Canis lupus familiaris: one gene and its partner. The protein of the gene in region 1 purifies or fractionates together with the protein of each later gene. This does not show direct contact. Links are inferred from orthologs where the notes say so. Each region holds a gene or a part of one and is shown on either strand. Other genes may lie near its edges.

Evidence for each region.
Region 2: the proteins of SLC9A6 (region 1) and MBLAC2 purify together in Homo sapiens (co-immunoprecipitation; 3 studies listed by BioGRID and IntAct, counting the BioPlex papers as one, with this or other methods). This does not show direct contact. The link is inferred for Canis lupus familiaris from reciprocal best matches to the Homo sapiens genes SLC9A6 and MBLAC2.

Annotation. Positions count from the first base shown.
Region 1 is NC_049260.1:107,361,772-107,365,600, forward strand, and holds part of SLC9A6 (sodium/hydrogen exchanger 6), read left to right. Parts: intron 1-3,281; coding exon 3,282-3,481; intron 3,482-3,829. UniProt on the Homo sapiens protein: Endosomal Na(+), K(+)/H(+) antiporter. Mediates the electroneutral exchange of endosomal luminal H(+) for a cytosolic Na(+) or K(+).
Region 2 is NC_049224.1:18,615,759-18,619,587, reverse strand, and holds part of MBLAC2 (metallo-beta-lactamase domain-containing protein 2), read right to left. Parts: intron 3,053-3,829; coding exon 2,667-3,052; 3' UTR 1-2,666. UniProt on the Homo sapiens protein: Acyl-CoA thioesterases are a group of enzymes that catalyze the hydrolysis of acyl-CoAs to the free fatty acid and coenzyme A (CoASH), providing the potential to regulate intracellular levels of acyl-CoAs, free fatty acids and CoASH.

The DNA of each region.
Region 1 (3,829 bases):
CTTATCAGATAGATGATTTGCAAATATTTTCTCTTCCATTTATTTTCAACCTGGAACTTTGTTAAAAACTTTTTTAAAGAGTTTATTTATTCATTAATGAAAGACATAAAGAGAGAGAGGCAGAGACACAGGCAGAGGGAGAAGCAGGCTCCATGCAGGAAGCCTGATGTGGGACTCGATCCTGGGACTCCAGGATCACGCCCTGGGCCAAAGGCAGAGACTAAACCACTGAGCCATGCTGATGTCCCTGTTAAAAACTTTTTTAAAAGTTGAGGTCATCCTACTGTTTAGCAGTTATTGATTGCCACTCACTTTAAAAATCGTGTGACTGCAAGTTGCCTCAAAGAATCCCCCATCTCTGTGCCTTCCCCACTTCCCAGCTCCTTTCCCCTCCTTGCATTTTATCATTTCTCACTCTGGACTGGCTTCTGCTCCCTCTGCTCCACTGGAACTGCCCTTACCAACGTCACCCATGAGCTCCTCGTTCCCAAACCTGACGGACACTTCTTAACACCTGTCATCCTTGACCACAGAATTGGCTAGTTTTCATCACTTCTTCCTCTTCTCTTCCTACTCCTGCTACTTGTCCTCCTTTGATTCCTTCATCAGCTCCTCCTCCCCACCAGCTCCTTTATGTTGGCTATTAAATGTTGGGGTAAAACTCTGGGCATATATCCATAGTCCTCTTCGCATTTTATTTGCTCTGCAGGTTACCTCAGAGGTACCTGACTTCAGCTATCTCCACTTGAGACCCCACCACACTTCCTTGAGGTTCAGATCCCATACACTCAACTGTGCCTGTGTCACAAGTACTTCACACTCAACAGGTCCGAAACAGAACTGTAAGATTTCCACCATGAACCTGTTCCCTTTCTCCCCAAATGGCCCTGCTACATATCTGGCTGCTTAGGCCAGCTTACCCACCCAATTGCCAAGTCACCTTGGCTTCCCTTAGTCTTTCTCCCCATCTCCCTTCCTCCTGGTATACTCAGTCACTGAGTTCTTCTAAAAACTAATACCTTCCAAAAATCTCTCCATGCCTTTCTCTGCTCTCTGGGATGAGGCCCAAAGCCCTCAGTGCCTGAAAGACTGCAGTGGCCTTCTGTCTGGACTCTTCGAACCTTTGTGGTCTAGAGCAACTTGTCTTTCTAAAATAGAAATCTTATGTCAAGCCCCTGTTTATTTATAACCCTTCCATGGCTTCCTTTTGCTTTTGAGATAAAGTCTAACTTCCCTTCCCCAACTCGCAAGGTCTTTTATGACAGTGCTCCTGCCAATCTTGCACACCTCAACTCCATCACTTTGTAACCCAGCCATCCCAAATTACGTGCAATTCCCTGAATGGGCTGTGTTCTCTCACTCTTCTATGACTGGATGTGTACTACTGTACCTCCTACCTGGAAAACCATTTCTTTTACTTTGTTTCCTTGCTTATGTGACACCTCTGGAAAGACTTCCCTGTTGTCCCACTTCCTTCTGGCTTGGTTAGGCACCAGGTACCTCTTTTCCATTTTTATAACACCTTGTCTCCATATATATCATACTGTCACTGTTTTTTCAGTCTGTTTTCACTAACTAGACTGAGAGCTACATGAAGGAGGGACCTTGTTTTCATCTCAGAACCCTGGGGGCCTATTCAGCATGGTACTCTAGCCACATGCATTAAAGGAGTGGCTGACGAGTTAGTGTGAAAGGAAACAGGGAGGTAAAGTGTAGCTGATAGTGGCATGCTGTACCTCTTGGAGTAAAGGAAAGTTCCAGAAGTTTGAGTTCAATTTGCAGTTGAGATAGATCCATACCATGGAATATTATTTAGCTACGAAAAGGAATGAAGTTCTAATACATGCTACAACATGGATAAACCTTAAAAACATGATGCTGAATGAAAAACGCCAGACATGAAAATTCACATATTGGATTCTGTTTCTTTTTTTTAGATTTTTAATTTATTTATTCATAAGAAATACAGAGAAAGAGACAGAGACATACACAGAGAATCAAATTCCCTGCAGGGAGCCTGATGCGAGACTTGATCCCAGGACCCTGGGATCAACACCCTGAGCCAAAGGCAGATGCTCAACCACTGAGCCACCCAGGCATCCCTAGGATTCTGTTTCTATGAAATGTCCAGAGTTGGCAAATCTATATAGAAAGTAAGGATAGTAGTGGTTTCCAGGGGCTGGGAGTTGGGGGGTAAGGTGGAAAATGACTGCTAATAGGTATGGGGTTTCTTTTTGGAGCAATGAAAATGTTTTGGAATTAGATTGTGATGATCAATATACGACTTTGTGAATATAGTAAAAGCCACTGAACTGTATGGTTTAAAAGGGTAAATTTTATGATATGTGAGTTACATCTCAATAAAGCCATTATTAAACAGATCAATGTAGGTTTTAGTACCTAGGACATTGTGTACATTTGAATATCAATATGATGATCCAAGTACAATTCTTGGGACACCCGGGTGGCTAAGCATTTGGGTGTCTGCCTTTGGCTCAGAGCGCGATCCTGGAGTTCCCAGATCAAGTCCCACATCAGGCTCCCTGCGTGGAGCCTGCTTCTCCTTCTGCCTGTGTCTCTGTGCCTCTCTCTCTCTCTCTCTCTCTCTCTCTCTCATGAACAAATAAATAAAATCTTTAAAAAAATCCAAGTACAATTCTTGCAATATATTGATGTCATAGTGCTGGATGGAGGACTTCTATTCCATGTTTTGATTTTGAAACACATGTTTTTAAATAAAAATCTGACCTTTTAGTGATAGAAGAACTCAGTTGATCTACAAATATTATTGATGCTCCAATTTGTTAAATGTGTATTATTTGGCCAGCCAGGTGCTGGAGGAATAACTTGAGAAGTGTTGTGTGTTTAAGTTTTATGAACTGATGGATGGAGGTGGAGGTGGTAAACACATTTCTAACATGATTACACTGTCATGTTGGGATACCTTATTTTATGTACAGATAATTTGAAGTTATTTTTTATTTTGTTACATTCCTAATCACTTACTTATATCTTGATCTAGAAATGCAGTGATGCTGCATTTGCTGTACCCTAGGGAATGTTTTCCCCTCTTGTCCCACTGGATTATATGAATATTAAACTCTTAGATTTGCAAATATAGTAATACTTTTAAATGTAACTGCATTCAGTCTAGAAATTTGTTCTGAACCACAGAGGACTATGCTAAGAGTTCTTCTGTTATCAGTCCAAAGGGATGTGTGTGGTACAGAAGTAGCCTTTGTCCAAAAGAAGAGCTTATATGGTTCTTTTATTATTTCCAGGTCTTTTGGTGGGCCTTGTGCTTCGATATGGCATTCACGTTCCGAGTGATGTAAATAATGTGACCCTGAGCTGTGAAGTACAGTCAAGCCCAACTACCTTATTGGTAAATGTTAGTGGAAAATTTTATGAATATACGCTTAAAGGAGAGATTAGTTCACACGAACTCAATAACGTTCAAGATAATGAAATGCTTAGAAAGGTAAGTTCTTTGTTAAAGGGAACATTTGGATTTTTTTTTAAGTGTATAACTAGCAGCAAAGCAATTCAGGAGAAGAATTAATTAATTTTAATGATGTTTAAAATCATTCTTTTAAAATGGAGAAAAATCTCAATTAACAAGTGTAATATAATGCTAAGGAAATGAATGGACATCTGTCCATTTCATTTTCTGATTGAGGCTAAGTACTCTAATCCTTTTTGTTTCATTCAGTGATATTTATGATTGTAATAAATGGTGATCAGTATTGACTTAAGCAGAATTTATAAGCATTTCTTTCAATTTGCAGATGGTCCTTAGAGTTTTATGGTCCTTCAGCACATTGAGTTT
Region 2 (3,829 bases), on another chromosome or scaffold:
AGTTATTAACAATATAAATAAAAATTATTTCTAAATGTCTTACATTTTGACAACTTTGAATTATACTTACATACTCTTAGTTCCAAAACCATAAATTATAACACGGGTCACTGTCAGGGTGAAAATATATTTTTTTAAAGCTTCTTTTAAAATATGCTATTATTATGCTTAACATCACTTGATTTATTCTTGGCACATGTGGCATCTGGAAAAGTAAAAATACACTTTGCCAATTTTATGTTATTGTGCAGGTACAAGAGAAAGAGCACAGTTTGGGAGGCAGATAGACCTGTGTTCAATTACCAGCTTTGTTCAAAGTTATGTTGTGTGAGGCTGGTCAATTACTTCTTGGCACGGGGCCAGGATTAAACCAAATAATGCATATTTTAAAATGCATAGCATGGGCACTAAATGAATGATAGATCCTTTCCCCAATCTATTCATACTGAAACAAAAGCAAAATATCAGTCTTATGTTTTTGTCCAACTTGAAAAACTGAAAAAAAATTGGAAATTTAAAAATAAAATTAACCATGTTTTGAAAAATTGTACTTTCAAGAAATAAAGCCTTCATCAGGCTTAAATATTTCTCAATAAAACTTAGTGCCTACTATACCCTGATTTTTTTAAAAGTCCTAAAGTATGATAAAATGGTCAATGGTTAAGGACTTTTGGTTTTCTTTTGTGCTACTGATATAAAAATAATGGCTATATTTAAGGCTCATTAAGTGATTGTAGTTGCCCTGAACCAAATCTATATTCTTGATGTTGAACTATCAATTGAAACAGACCTACTGCCTTGAATGAGAATGCTCATTTGGTGGCAGGTGGCAGTACAGCTTGACTCATATATACAATCACAAACCCACCTTTCTCATGCTAAATACTTGGTGTTTGGATGATCTAAGATTCCTGAAAATTAAATTTAAATTGTCACAAGGAATAGCCTACTTCAGACAGCAATGCTTTCCATCCCTGTTCTTGGCTCTTCTTGTCCCCTACCCTGACTACCCAACAAATCATCTTTCCAAATCTGACTAAAAAACCTCTCCCTCAGGAATCTTTTCTTCACCAAACTCCACATCCCTCCATTTATGTCCCTGAAACTATTCTGTAATTTGTATTAGCTTCAACCTGCATATAATATTAGTCATGTTTTGTTTGCTTTCTACTTCCAGCTAAGATGTAGTCTCTTTGACTTTTTAAACTTCCACAGTGTTTAGCACAATACTGTGCATGTATGTATTTATGTGACTGTGTATATGCATATGGTGTGTGTGTGTGTGTGTGTGTGTGTTGAATGAATAAAAGACTAAAGAACCTGGGTGGGTATAGGGTGGGAACATTTACTAATTTTTCAGAAATAAAAATTTCCTAAACCTTCTTAAGACTAAAAAATCTGGTTTCCAAAGCTATCTCAGTTTGGGTTTGAACATGTCAATAATAAAAAAGGCAGTGAAAAACCTGTTTAAAAAACCTTTATGAAATATTCCAAAAGGCTTTTTAATAAATTATAAAGAGCACCAAACTAAAATATTTTACTAAATAGTGGGTAACCTTTCTTATAACTTTATAAATGTAGACTTTTTATTCAAGACAAAGAATACTGAACAGGAATAGGTGTTGTGAATCAGGATAAAAAAGGCAATTAATCTAAGTCAATATCTAATGTGTATTTTGCAATTCATCTGAAAAGCCTTCTGTGGTACACATGTATGTTATGGTAAGTAAAAGAATGATTTATATCAGGATGTTGTAGATCTCTATAGTTTTCTGATACTATAAAATATGATACATATAGTGAAGCTGCTATTTAACAAGAAAAATTTTGTTTATAATAGCTGTTAATATTAAAATAGGATATAATAAAAAATTATTTTCAATGTGTATATTTTCAAATTTGCCTGACAGTGTCCTTTTGAGAAATCTGACAATTTGTAATTAGATTACAGACATTTGAATTTCATTTTTATGATCGAAAATATTACACTCACATAACAAACAACGCTATATAGTAGCTTTTTACTGAAGCACTCTGCAATTTATATTTAAAGCTTTGCAATAAAACAAAATTCATTGTACTCTGTAAGTAAAATTATACAACATATAATACACACCATAATTACATTAAGAATAAATAAATGAAGCATAAAAACTCTGTGCCATAACAATGGATTATTTTAGCTGTCATTCTAAATATTAATTTTTATGTTTGTATTGAGTCCTAATGTATTTTAAACTCAAGAACCTTTATCTTTAAAGAATATACTCAAAATACCAAGTTTGGAGTATAAACATAAAATTTTATGCCTCTTTCTCTAGGTCACGTAGGAAATAAAATAAGACAAATGGAAGGCAAGGACAGTTCTTTCTGTTACTGCAAAATGCCTCTTTGCTTTCACATAGATTTCTGTGTCATTTCTGGAATATTACAAGATGACAAATATTACAAGACGAGAGCTTGGCAAATTATAAAGCTTATTTAAGTGATTTCTTATTTGGAAGAAAGGAAAAAATTTAAACAAAGAACTTTTGGCTTACTCATTCTCAATCTTTTTTTCGCTAATAAAGCACTTCTTGAAATGCTCACTATTAATCATTTTAAACAGCACAAAATGAATTTGATTAATTTACAGAATTCATCACAATAGGTCATCAGTATAGATACTAGGGTGAGGTCCTAGAATTTGTTACACGTAAGGCTAAACTCGCAAGAGATCGCATGGCAAAAGTAGAAACTTTGTGACATATCCCAGCTTTTGAAATATAGTTAGAAGCCAATCGAAAAAGCCTTTCAGCACCAAAGGTATTGAAGTGCCCAGGAAGCACCTTCTCTACCAGACCTCTGTCCACTAATTCTATCAGACGTTCACAGGTTCCAACATAGTCACTTATCCTGCTGTACGGGAGCCAGTCAATCAGTGATCCATCATACACGACGTCTCCACTGAAGAGAATCTTTCGGTCTTTGTCATGTAAGCAAATACTGCCCCTGGAGTGACCAGGCATGTGCATAACAGTGAGCTGTCTGTCACCAAGGTTGATCACATCCCCTACAAATGGAAACAGATTTTACAGATAAACATGTTGTATACTTGCTTCAATCACTTAAAGAATAAAAGAACATTAGATGGTTTCAAAGAGGTTGTAGGGAAGGATGACACTTAATTTTATTTCAAAAATACAGTATTTCTTAATGATTTAAAAATAAGTTGCCCATATTTCATTTCTATTGTTTGCTTGACTAGTGTTTGTCAAGTGAGTTATGTGAAACACTATTTCTGCAGGTTGTTAGGATACATAAAAAAAGGGAAGATGCTGTAGTCAAAGAGTTTTGGAAACCTTTCCTTCAAGGAAAATGAAGCAGCTTCTTTTTTTCTGCAAGGCTTCTGACAACTTTTTAATATGCTAATCTACATTGTAGATATACAGAAGGGAGATATGATTGTACCATTTCTCAAACTTATTTGACCACAAAACTAATTTTTCAGTAAATCCATGGTACCAGTGTCCTGATGACACAATTCATGAATGCTGCTCTTTGAGGTATGAGTGCAAAATTGCTGTTTCACTGCATTTAAATCAGTACTAATTTAAGTAAATCATCATAATCTTAAAGTTCCATATGGTTATCTTTAGTGCAAATATATATACATGCAGAAAAAAAAATCAAAGACATATAGTTAAAAAGTTAATAGGGGGGATGCCTGGGTGGCTCAGTGGTTGAGCATCTGCCTTCGGCTTAGGGTGTAATCCCGGGGTCCGGGATCAAGTCCCACATTGGGCTCCTTGCGGGGAGCCTACTTCTCCCCTGCCTATATCTCTGCCTC